Linked DNA regions of Coturnix japonica. The protein of the gene in region 1 interacts with the protein of each later gene in a pairwise test. Links are inferred from orthologs where the notes say so. Each region holds a gene or a part of one and is shown in the gene's direction. Other genes may lie near its edges. The genes, in order: TOLLIP, TOM1L2 and TOM1L1.

The links.
Region 2: the proteins of TOLLIP (region 1) and TOM1L2 interact in binary tests that used the Homo sapiens proteins (3 or more experiments, as listed by UniProt). The link is inferred for Coturnix japonica from reciprocal best matches to the Homo sapiens genes TOLLIP and TOM1L2.
Region 3: the proteins of TOLLIP (region 1) and TOM1L1 interact in binary tests that used the Homo sapiens proteins (3 or more experiments, as listed by UniProt). The link is inferred for Coturnix japonica from reciprocal best matches to the Homo sapiens genes TOLLIP and TOM1L1.

What each region holds. Positions count from the first base shown.
Region 1 is NC_029520.1:9,911,762-9,915,703, reverse strand, and holds part of TOLLIP (toll-interacting protein), read left to right. Parts: intron 1-1,295; coding exon 1,296-1,448; intron 1,449-2,631; coding exon 2,632-2,722; intron 2,723-3,942. UniProt on the Homo sapiens protein: Component of the signaling pathway of IL-1 and Toll-like receptors. Inhibits cell activation by microbial products. Recruits IRAK1 to the IL-1 receptor complex. Inhibits IRAK1 phosphorylation and kinase activity.
Region 2 is NC_029529.1:4,990,614-4,995,063, reverse strand, and holds the start of TOM1L2 (TOM1-like protein 2), read left to right. Parts: upstream 1-1,591; 5' UTR 1,592-1,664; coding exon 1,665-1,716; intron 1,717-4,450. Other genes in the region: DRC3 (dynein regulatory complex subunit 3), read right to left, coding at 451-607. UniProt on the Homo sapiens protein: Acts as a MYO6/Myosin VI adapter protein that targets myosin VI to endocytic structures. May also play a role in recruiting clathrin to endosomes. May regulate growth factor-induced mitogenic signaling.
Region 3 is NC_029533.1:8,286,652-8,291,089, reverse strand, and holds the start of TOM1L1 (TOM1-like protein 1), read left to right. Parts: upstream 1-1,255; 5' UTR 1,256-1,405; intron 1,406-4,438. UniProt on the Homo sapiens protein: Probable adapter protein involved in signaling pathways. Interacts with the SH2 and SH3 domains of various signaling proteins when it is phosphorylated. May promote FYN activation, possibly by disrupting intramolecular SH3-dependent interactions.

The sequences.
Region 1 (3,942 bases):
AATTTAATGGCAAGTCCCTCCATGTCCACTTATGTATGTTTTCCTTAACATACAGTGGTGATAAACTGTTTACAAGTTACAGATTTCAGTTTCTCGGAGATTAAGTACATCTGATTAACAGCTCAGCTGAATAATCTGCTCTGCAAACGTTGCTTATGAGAGTAGTACTGTCATAAACTCTAATGTGTTATTCTACTAGATGTTGTTATTGGCAGCAGGGAGTATGTGCCTATGTGTTAACTGTTCCATTTGGGGATGTTGACTTTGACTTAGAACAAACTTGTGTTCTCAGGTAATGTTAGAGGCTACAACTGAGGCAAATGTCTATGACTTGCCCTTCTTTGCTTCCCCTCTTACTGTGCGAGTTTAACTTGACACTGCAACAGCCATGCACTTGTTACACAAATGAGGCTTTTGGATGCTGTTTTGTGATAATTGGTTGAAGTTTCATTACTGCAACAGAGGAGGCGCATCAGTGCTTATTTCTACTGAAATTACTGGAATTATTTTAAATGTAGACAGAAACTGTTTCTTAATAGCATGACTGCTATCTACAGATATAGACTAGTGGGGTTCCACAGGACTCTATTTTTGGGGCAGTTCTCTTTAATGTTTTTATAAGTGATCTTGACACAGGAGTCAAATGCATACTAAGAAAGCTTGTGAATGATATGAAATTAGGGGGAGCTCTTGCATTCCTCAAGGGCAGAGAGCCCTTGCAGAGATGTTGACAGATTAGAGGACTGGACAATCTCCATCCATGTAAAGAAGTAAGAAGAGCAGTGCCAGATTCCCAACTTGGGATGGGGTAACCCTGGGTACGTGTACAAATGAGGGGATGAGAAACTTGGGAGCAGGCCCACAGGAGAAGGATCTGGGGGGTTCTGGTTGACAGCAAGTTGAATGCAAGTCAGCAGTGTGCCCTGCCAGCCAAAAGGGGCTTCTGTGCCTTGGGTGCACCAGACTCGGCACTACCAGCTGGGTAAGGGAAGGGCTGGGCTGCTTTGAGCTATGTGGTCTCACCTGCAGCACTGTATACAGCGCTTGGTGCCGCAGCATTGGGAGGGTGTAAAACTGGTGTATTAGAGAGCACGCAAATGAGAGCAACAGAGATAGTAAAGAGTCTAGAGGGCAGGACTTAGGAGGAGTGACTGAGGTCACTTGATTTGTTCAGCCCAGATAAAAGAAGGCTGAGAGGTGATTTCCTAGCAGTCTGAACTCTGTTACGCTTCGTGTGTGCATGTAGATAGCAGTAAGGTAAAACTGAGATGTTTCTTCTTCTGTTTTTCGTCTAGCGAGCCTTTTCAATGGATGATCGCATTGCTTGGACACACATTACAATTCCTGAATCTCTAAAACAAGGAAATGTGGAGGATGAATGGTATAGCCTGAGTGGAAGGCAGGGTGATGACAAGGAAGGAATGATTAACCTGGTGATGTCATACACGGTAAGTCAAGTTTAAAGTGAGAATGGGAGAGATAACAAGAGGAGATATTCTAGGTTAAACTAGGAGTATTTCCGTTGTATCTCGCTCTTCTGTGTGTGTTAGCGTTTAAAATATTTGTACTTTATTTTGCACATAGCAGCCAAAAATATTATGGTAGTAAATCCTTCTTGGTGAGGTAGCAATTGAATATTTATTTGGCTACTCCTCAGTCAAATAATTTGTTTTAATTTCTAATTTGATTAAAACAACAACAAACAACAAAGTTTCTACTTTGAATTTAGGTCATTTTTATAAGTAAAGGTAGTCACAGCTCTTCTCTGTGGTCTTTTTGGGAAGTTTGAGTGCACTTTCTGGTGACTTGAATTCTGATTTCCATTTTTATTTAGTGCTTGTATTGAACTGCTGACTTTGGCCTATTTAATAGCTTCTGGATATTCTCTAGTCTGTTATCTTTGTCATAAGTACCTGTGGGATGGCATGATAGCTCCTCAGTGCTTCCTACTACGCTTGCGTGTGATCAGAAGTTCTGGGTTGTTGCTGGGTGCACAACTGTGACCAGCTGCTTCTGCTACTTGAATTTCCTATTTGGCCCCACAACTGAACAATTAATTGTTCCTTTACCCCTAGGGTAAAAATTTTTATTAACTTTTAAAATGTGCACCAATGGATGTGCTGCGCACAGAATCTGACCTTCTAATGTCTTACATGATGAAAGAGAACAGAAATTGTGGTACTATAAAGGAATGGGCTTGGACATTTTAAAAAGTACTAATTTACCTAAAAAATGATTTGAACTAATGTCTACTCTTAATAAAATTCAGCTTTGCTTTACATTTTTACTTCAGATAAATAAATACGCCATGTATTCGTTTTCCCAAAATAAAGTGTGGAAATTTAGCCATGTTTTAGAGCAATTTGTTTCTGTAACAGAATATCAGTGGCCAGTTGCATCAAGCTGGTGGGAAAGGATAACTGGTGTGTGCTTATTCTGATTTACACTTAAATTGTCATTTTAAAGAGTAGCATTTCGGTTTACTTGCCAAAAATTCTGCTTAATACAAATCGGATAGGTCTTATTGTGCATGCAGTGCAGATTTTCTGTATTACAGTGTGGTGACTTCTTTCAAACGTTTTAAAACAATTCCAAAAATGCCAATTAATCTCTGTTGTGCATTTTGTCTAGTCTTTGCCAGCTGCCATGATGATGCAGCCCCAGCCAGTGGTTCTGATGCCCACTGTATACCAGCAAGGAGTGGGATATGTGCCTATAGCAGGTATGTTGTCTTTAATTGAAGACTAAAGCTTCCAAGTAAAGGGGTTTTGCAGAGCTGTCTAACAAGTTTCTCTTCCTTTTTGGAAAGTGAAGGGGATTTGTAGGTGATTTCATCCTTGACTGTATTTTCCATGATGCCAGAGGGGAGGACATGAATTAAGTGTGAGCCTTTTTGACTTCTGAGTTTGATAGATATTCAAAAGTTTGGATTCAAATGACTGTAAAGTCACAACGAGTAGCATTAAGTCTACTTTTAATGAATATGAAATCAAGCCTTATGTAAGTCATTAAATAACTAAATATACTGAAACATAGTCTGTCAGATATTGTGTGCTGGGAAGATGGTGGCAACCCAGGTGAGAAAGTGCTCAGACTTCAGAAAGCACATCACATGCATCGTGTAGTCAGAGCTGCAGCTAAAATTGACTATAAAGGGATTATCTTTCCTGTGGACCTTAAAGGTGCTCTGTTGAAAACGCAACACACAAACCACTTAACTCTGTGAATGAATAATATTAGGGAGCTCTGAGATAGATTAACGGAAGTATATCAAGAAAGCTAAAAGAAAGCAGTTGTCAGTTGTTCTGGTCTGTGTGAAGTAAATTTTTGACTTCTATAGATAGATGTGTTAAGTTAGGTTCTGTAGTTTTACTGTCAAAAGTGAGAAACTTCAAGTATATAAATAACCACATGTTTGCTTTTCTTAAAGGACTGGTAAGTAAAGTTTGGGGTTTTTTTTGTTTTATCCTGTATTAGTTTCAGCTCTTAAAAGCTCTACATTAAACAAGAATTCAGCACGATAGTCTTACTGATATATTTTGAGTTTCTTCACATGTATTTGTATGGGTGAGTGATAGAGTATATGGGACGCAGTTGCAGTATTGAGGACTGGCACAATATATTTTTCTTTTAGACTCAATTCCTGATTTAATTTAAATTTCATTCTCTGAAAAAGCAAATTTCCACAATATAAATCTGGATATTTAACTTAAAAAAGTGTGCCTCCTGTAAAACATAGAAGTTTGGTTACTTACTGAACTCCCTGATGAGAATGTATAGAATGCTTCATTCAAAGTGCTTTTATCTCTAGAGCTTCTCAGGATTTAAGTCTTGCTTGCTTCACTATCTAACTATTCTAAATTACTGTGTGTATTCTGAAGTTTCATTCCATTGTAGTTAGCTTCTGTGTTTTTCTGTTCTTGGATTAGATATACCTTTCCA
Region 2 (4,450 bases), on another chromosome or scaffold:
CAAATGTTCTTCCTTCTTCATTTTTGAATGCGAGCTTATAGACTGGTTTGGCAGTAAGAGACAAGCTGTGACGATGCTATGGATCAGAGGAAGCTACCAAACTGGACTGTAATCAGCACATTCTAACAACAGCACTTGGATAATCGCCACTGATGGCCGTGCCTGCTCAGGATTTGATTTGTCCATGTACAGAAGGGCCCAATAGGCCTGTGGCCTGTAGGTGTCACCACAATATAAATGTTAAATAAGAACAGCGCTGACGATAATAGCATAAAGCTAAGCAGCTTTAAAGCCATCCATCAGCAATACCACCCAGACCGCTCAGCTGAAACTGCTGCTTCCAGGCATGACTAAAAGCCTAAGATGATCATTATTGTTTAATTGCCAGGTTGCCAATTAATGCTTATTTCATTTATCCCCCTATAAATGTGTGTGTGTTCTGATACTCACTTCTAAAACTAAGCTGTAGCTCCGTCACATCTTTAAAGTCATAACCTTCTGATGTGGCGAGCCTCCTTATGTCCTCCGGCCATTGCTCTTCAACTGCTTTCTGAAGCATTTCATCGTCAATAACGTTTGGCTCTAAGCTGTCGTCTGGCTGACTCATTTTTAGAGGATATCAGCTGTAATGGACAGAAAAAGCAACAACAATAAAGCCACTGTCTGGCTGCTATTTCCAACCTTCATTGAAGTGGCACGACACAGTCGTGCAGGGGATTAATCGCAGGGGATTAATCGCAGGGGATTAAGAACATGGTTAATATTAAGATCTAACACCTCAGAGCTGATATCAAAGATGAATTTGCTTTTATAATGGCTTGTATGGGAAGGGATAGTGAAGATCATTGAGCTGGGTTGTACAGCCATTGGTGTGACTGTAAGCACAGCCTGCACATTAGTTCTGTAATAAAAGGAAAAGGAACCTGGAGGAAGAAGGAACGTTTATAAATAGTAATAGTGATTTTCTGAAGGCCCTTAATGCTGACCCACCGTAATGCGGCCTAACCCAACCTATATGGACACAAATACCTCCACTGAGGGAAATGATTAATTCTCAGCTTTCTCTCCTGGCTTTGTCATTTATAAATCCACACTGATACCCCACAGCTCGGCCCCAGGCCCCGTTACCGGCCCCAGCCCCTTCTGCGCTCCAGCCCCGGCTCTGTGTGGTAGCTAAGGAAGCCCAAGCGCGTTGCTAATAGATGTCACGTGATGCGCTCGGCCGCCAATGGGCTGAGAGGGGAGGTGGGAAGTCTGGCTGCTAATCAGAGCCCGAGAAAACCGTGTCAGCCAATCAGAGCTCCAAGCGTGCCTTGTGGGCGGGAGGAGTTGTGTATGATTGACGTTCTGCTCGCCCATTCATATTGCAGAGTTTTCCGGCTGTTGCCCAATGGAGTGTGGCGTTAACGGAATCTCTCCTGTCCATCAACTGAGGGGCGTGGCAAAGGACGGAACTACCGAGGGGGCGGGTCCGTCGGTTGACAGTGATTGACACACTCTTCAACCTATAGTATCACGGAATTTACGAGCACCGTCCAATGGGTTGCAAGGAGGCGGGCCTTGCCCGGCAAAGCGAGCGGCGGTTGGTGCTCGTGGCTGCTAATCAGAGAGGGGTGGGGAGGAGGAGGGAGGGCCGCCGGGCCGCTGTTTGTTGTCATCCCAAGATGGAGTTTCTGCTGGGGAACCCGTTCAGCACCCCGGTGGGGCAGAGCCTCGGTAAGGCAGCAGTGTGGATTACAGTGTGGCTTACACAGGGCATTGAGGGCTAGAGAGGACAACGGAGGGGCTGGGGGCCTCCGGGGAGTGCGGTCCTTGGGGCTGTGGGGTTGCATAGAGAGGCACGGAGGGGGCAGTGGCGGCCTGTGGGGGGCTCTGAAGGCCGGGGGGGCACGGGATGGGGCTGTGGGATAGATGGGAGGGGTCTGTGATGGGGGGGATCTCTGGGGCTGTGGAAGGAGTGTGGAACTGGGGGCTGATGGAGCTGTGAGGGTTTGGAAGGGCTCGGGTGTGGGCCGCAGTGTGTCATGGAAGCTCCGAGGGGCTGTAGGGCTTCGTGGGGGCTCCGGGGGTCGTGAAGGGCTGTAGGCCCGCAGGGGGCCATGGAGATATGGGCCATGGCAGGGGGCACGTTCCCTGTGCTGCCTCAGCTGCCTTCATCCCCAAGGGCTGGAGCTCATCTGATGGGAGTGCGATGCAGGTTAGAGATGCACACACACCTTTCAGCCCAGCACTTGGATTATGGTTGGCCTCATGCTTTGGTGGCGCTGGGCAGGTTGTTGTGAATGTACCCCCCCTGCAGGGCCAGCCAAGTGCTTGCTGGGTTGCTGTGTGTGCCCCTTCTCTCCTACGTGTGTATTCGTGCTTAGCTGTGACAGCTCTGGCTCTGGTCTGGGTTGCTGGGGCCACAGGAGAAGGCCTGAGTTCCATTCTTTCAGGGCTATGGCACTTGCCTGGGGCTGTCATAGCTTCCCACTTGCTTCTCACATACCCTGAAGGAATACAAGCTCTCCCAGGTCGTGGTGGGAAAGAAGAGCAAACTGGCTTGGATTTCTGCAGCATAGGGACCATTGCATATGGTCCCAGGAGCCAAGACAATGCTCAGTTGTATGCACTTGTGTTGGCGTCCCTTGCGGTGAAACCATGCTCCCAGTTTCCATGATTTGTTTTGTAAACAGCAGTAATTCTGATGACTTACCTAATGGTTATATGTAGTATAACATGTACAGGCTATAGCTATTCAGCATTAACTTATGAAACACCAGGGGATTCATGTCTTTGGGAATTAAAGTGGAAATGTACTACTGAGTAGCTGCTCATGGCCTCAAAACCCAGAAGTTCCTTTCTAGCAGCTCCACACCCACATGTGCAGACAGCCCATGGCAGAGCTCAAGGCCTTTAAGTGGGTGAGTCTCACATGCTTTAAAGGTGGCTGGACTCTTGCTTTGTCAGACTGTGCAGACCATATATCGTGCTGTTTTTTCTTTAGCTACCAGAGGTGTTCATTTGTTCTGCTTAGGCAGAGAAGTGCTGAGAGTTTGAGGATTAAAGTGACGAAAGTGAAAGTTAGCCATGATTTTTAAAGTGAATTTGCATTGCTGTGCTTGGCCATCTGATAACATCTGCCAAGACAGCTGGCTGCTTGGACAAGCCTTCTGCATCAGGCATTGTTAACTGAAGGTTATAATTTCTGATCTATTTATTGTCAGATCCTTTTAGCCTCAGTAAGTGGTTTAAAGGGGCTTCCTTAGGACTTAATTACTGTTGAGAGGTTTTAATGGTAGAATATGCTTTTCCAGCCTCTTGCCTTTCTAAGTCTGGAGTGCCGAGGTTTGCATAGCTCTTATGTCCCCTTGCTCTCTTTGAATGAGCAGTCACAGCCAACATAAAGGTTTTTGGCACAGAGCTCAGAGGGATCCAGGTTAGGTCTGTGTGAGGGGCTCAGAGCACAGCTTCTGTACTGCAAAATCCAGTCACGCTTTAACAAGGTTTTTCCATCCCTTTTTTTCGGGGGGGGGAGGAGGAAGACAGAGCTGCAGGTTTTATTTTGGAAGATTATTTCTTTCTGCTTCTCATATCAGTGCCAGTTTCCTGAGACAACAGCAAGACAAAAGCACGCCTTGTTCACAGACGGTGCTATTTGCACAGTGTTTCCACTGCTTTCTTTTTTTTCAATGAGCTCGTAGGATATAATTCTCACTTACGTTGCTTTGTACTTTCAAAGAAGGTAATTAACTAATTTAGTATTGCTGTTTAAACATACCGTGTAAAATACTGTTATGATGTTTTCAAACAGGACCTAGCACTTAACATAGTATCCATTATAAGGAAGAAGCACAGAGGGTCCTGTGAGTCCATCAGTGCACCAGGAAGTAGCAGAGGATCTCATGAAGATTTACTTAGGGCTAAGCAACATTGTTGCATAAATGCTAGGTCTAGAAGAGCAAATATATCAGAGAAGGTTTGTGGAGTGCTGAGGGAGGGAATACATGGGATTTTCCCTTTTCCTCTTTATCTGGATGATGTCTGAAGCCAGGCAGCCTTTTTATGTTAACTCTTTTGCTTAATGTGAGAAAGTAATGCTAGGATGAGCTCAGAGGATTTGTAATGGAGATGGATTGAGTCTCTTGCATCTAAAGTGCCAGTGTAGATGGGAGCCAGGTTCCATGTCTCTGAAAGCCACCTGATTTCTGCTGGCTGATAAACCTGGTTGGCTGATAAAACCGCCTGTGAGAAACACCACCACTGCTACCAAGGACAAACCTCACTTAATTTTCCTCTAATGCTTTCTTTGACCTGTGGAGGCTGAGCTGTCCCTTTGCCTCTAGCAAGGTCCCTGCCAAGCTGTTTTGGGAGGCCTGTTGGTTGAAGCAGGCACGTGTTGTGGCATTCCTGATCTTAAACACCGTTCTGCTCTTGCCATGTTGCTTTTTACCTATTGAAGGAAGGGGAG
Region 3 (4,438 bases), on another chromosome or scaffold:
ATGGGGAAGACAAAGGGTTTCAGTGCCACGCAGCATGGCAGAGAGGTTGCATAGGTAGACACAGAGGGGCAGTTTGCACAGCCTTGCTGGCTGGGGTCCTTGGCTCTGCTGAGGATCCAAGGAACTTTCCTTTGTTTTCTGTCTCAGCGGAGAGCAAGGCATTGATCTTGCTCAGCTGCAAAGCACTGAGGATATGAGAGTGGGAGGGAACTGAGTTTACTCTACTTTTCACAGCACTTTCTGTCACTCTAATAACTTCATAGATAGGAAATTTTGCTTGGAATAAAGCACAGCCATGTCACAAGTCTGACAATGGAAAACTAAGTGCCCAAAATATCTTTCTCTGGATTTTCCCCTTTTCTTCCTATATTTTCTTTCACCTGCTGGGCTCCATTCAGTATTCAGGTTACATAAACCTCACATGTTCTCTTTTCAAGGGGCAGTGTTCTATTCAAGTTTATTATTTTCTTTGCTATTCCTGCTCTTTTTTTCTCTCTCTGCATTGCCTACTGAAGCAATATCTTTCTAAAGATACAGATATAAGATTAAGATAGAAGATAAGATGAGATAAGTGATACTTCTTCTAAAAGAAAATATTCCTGAAATGTGGCAAATCCTGCAGTGTTAGTTTTAAAAGCAAACATTTCTCAATGCACGCTCATCCACTCATCTTGGATAGTGCACATCCTCTGACATGATGTACTGTGATTTCTCGACATGCTTAGATAATGACTGATCTGACAGCACCCTCCAGGCACAAGATTTTATCTTGACTGGGGGGAGTTGCCATCATGCACCGTGAGTTAGAGAAAATCAGAGAATACCAGGCCCTCTGTACAGACCCAGCTGGCACAGGTCAAATTCAGGCATCATGGATGTCATGAGTGCAAGAACTGATCTCTGTAAGCAGTGAAAGTAATTGCCTGGTGCTGGAAAAAGAGTTCAGTTTGGGGGCTGGGCAGTGTTTTTAGTTTATTTTTGTGGGGTTTTTTTGTTGTTTTTGTTATTTTTATGGGAGTAGAATCAATGGAACTATAGTTCATTTTTTCAGAAAGTGGAAGCTGCAGTAAGCAATGTCCCACTCGATTGGTAGCATTTAGGAAATGTATGACCAAGATGTGTAGGCCATGTGATGTGCATAGGTTGCTAATTAACCAATTTGGACATAGTTCTGAAAGGTGATATGAGGTTTAGAAGCCTAAATAGCTAATCTGTTCCCTCCCTTTCTTTTGTCTTTAAAGTTTAGAGCCCTGTGTAATATACACATGAAACCTGCAGCACCCTTCCTTACCATGAATGCACATCAATACACTGTGATTCTTGTGGACTGTGCAACAAGAGGAGAGTCCTACAGCTGCTCCCTGCTAAGGTTCATCTCTGCTCAGCACCAAAAGGAAAAGAGCAGGTATGTGGATGTTTCTGACTGTATCATTAGGTTGCAAGTGGGAGAAAATGGAAGACAAATACTGGTCATCCCTTAATATTTTGATATAAATTCTTCTTTCAGCAAGTCAAGAAGTTGTGGGTCTGAGTTGGGGTGTGTGCTATACTCTGTATGAGGTTTGCTTCTTGCACAGGCAGTGCAACAGCCAAGCGCAGTTTTTATTTCAGTGCTTCAAATATTATTATTTTTTCCCACACATTCTGTTTCTACTGTGTTTCAACAAATGCAGAGTTACTGATGTTGCTGTGCACCAGGAGGGTCACATTCACCCTGCAATAGAAGGTGCAGAAACTTGGATGGAAACTGAAAATATGTCTGGGTGCTTTTGTATTCGAGAGCCCTGGAGCCCTTCCTTGGGTAGTGGTCGATAGCAGGGACTTCAGGTTTGAGGCACATGGTTACAACAACGGCTGAAAGTGGAATCGTTATTATGATGAGAATTTTCATGCTCAACAGAGATGTGGTGAGGCTCAATATCCTCTTGAATAACAGCTTTTCTTACTGCAAACAGAAAAGAGCAATTATGTTTTCAGGTTCATGCACTAGTTCTGGTCTCTTGGAGCTCAGAACGTTGTTCTTGGCAAAATCTCTCGTAGTCGAGATGGCTGTTCAGCTCCAGATTGCAACCTCAGGGTCTCTTCCAACTTTGCGGTTTTTGATGTTATTTGGAGATTTTTAGTGAAATTTGCACTCCACGCTTGAGAAGAGCTGTTCACAGCATAAAATGCACCTCACCTCTTGGCAAAAGTTCTTCTCAGTGCCCCATGTCCAGGTGTAACTTCTAGGTATCATTTTCCCATTGTATTTAGCATTGTAATCTCTAACAGCTCTCATCCTTACTAGTAAAACAGACACTGAGGCTCAAAGTGGTATGTCAAGGAAACAGAATTCTGTGGCAAAAGCAGAATTAAAGCATCCCTCAAGGATTCATGGGCTGGACTTTAATTTTTCCAGTTGTTAACTGGAATTTAACTATGTGTTAAAAAAAAACACAGCAGCAGGAACCATACAGAACAAGGTGGAAAGGAATAGGGGTTCCTTAGAGGCTGAAACAGTGACTTTCATTAGAAAAGAAAGCAAATTGCCACCAGGTAGACAGGTGAGAAAACTAGAAATACCAGCCCTCTGTCACTGTAGTGGGGAATTTACTCTTCAGAATGTAGGTTCACTTCAGATACGTTTTTAGACAGACGAATACTTGCGTTTTAATTCAGGTGCTGGGAGTTACCTCCCTCCCTTCCAGCTCAGTGCATGGCTGTTAGGTAAGTGATGGTTGGAGTGCAGTCTGTGGAAGCTTGAACATGGAAAGAGCAGATTTGCAGGGCTTGGAGCCACAGGCAGGAAGAAAACTTAATTCTGATTCTTTTATTTTCCCCCTTCAGCGAGTTGGCCAGGTTACCTAACCGTCATTTCAGTCTGTCCTTAACATTGAGGCTGTGAAGATTTGCAACAGATAAAATAATTCTGAAAAGCTCCTATTGTTTAGCTATCAAGGCCAACTCATCTGCAAAGTCTTTGGGAAGATTTTGTTTCACCTGAGTTACAGAACATGTTCACACAATGTTTTTTGTGCCATTAATTATTTAAAGCTTGCTATTTTGCATGAATAGATCAGCTCGCCTCAAAGAACACAGGGCAGATGAGAAGGGACATTCCTGAAACATCCTATAGGATGCTGGAAAAGGGAGAAAAAGGGAAATGAGGTTAAATCCCTGCTGGGGCAGTGGGACACGCCTCCAGCCCTGCAGACCTGACAGCAGAGCTTTGAGGCTGTTCTCAGTGTTTCCAGAGTTCTCACTTTAAGATGATTGTTGCATTTATAGTAGGCACAAGCCTTGGTGCCTTCAGTTTGCATTTGGCGAGATGATTCCTTTGTTCATCAGCCTTCTGAGGCAATGTGAGCATTATGACTCAGCTGAACAGCACTCAGGTGTGTTGGCTGGGGTGAGGATGTGACCATTTTAGTTGCAGGAGGGATGTGGCTGTGGGACAGGGCAGTGGCTGCTTCACACCCATATAACCCCACTGAGCTCACCCTTCAGGATCTGAATCCCAGTTTCATGTTGGCTCTTTGAGGTCCATGTTCAATCTTCTGATATGCTTAGAGAAAAATTCCTCAAATGAAATCCTTAATGACCTTTTGAAAGGTTCCAGTAACCAATATGGAAGAGAAACAGCTTTTAAAGCTTTGGAAAGTTGATTTTTTTTGTTGTTACTTTTGTTTGTGCAGAAGAGATTGGTCGTTTTAAGCCAGCTGTATTTGGCAGCTTCTGTCCAAAGGAGGGGATGCCGAGCTGGGGTAGCACTTGGCAGAGTTCTGTAACACCCTCATTATTGTCTGTGTTCTGTTCTTTCACTAATTTCATCTATTAAATAAATAAATGAGTGATTTTGCCAGATGAATTTTTTTTTGTATGAGAGTATCTTTTTGTAACGTTGCCATCTTTCAGTGGTAATTATCCAGTCCCACAGCTGTTGCCTACAGGCAGGTTCGAAATGATAATTTTATAAGGTGTACAAATCACCATAAACATAAATAAAAACAAGAGTTGAGTGCCGAGTCAATAGAGATCAGTGAAATGAAAAAGACAGGGGTCTGGATGACCAGATTACCATGTTAGCCAAGGATGCTTGTTATCTGAGTTCGTGATTGTGATCCGGGTTTGGTTGATTGCAAAACAGAGCAATTAAGACTCACAAACTTAAAAATTATACAAGTGATGAAGCATTTAAACCATGAGCAATTCCAGTGAGTTATTTACTTCTGCTCAGATTCACGGTGCAGAGTTGAGAAGAATTTGTGATGCAGGGAGTCAAGTAGATGTGTCATGTTTTGGAGGATGAAAGCAGGCCAGCATGAAAGCTTTGTGGAAACGCAAACGTCAGACAGCCCCAAACTCTGGAACTCTGCATGCAACACTTAGCTAACACACTGACTCATGCATTTGGATGAGGATCCTTCCAACATATGGTCTGAAATGGGTCTCTCCTGTA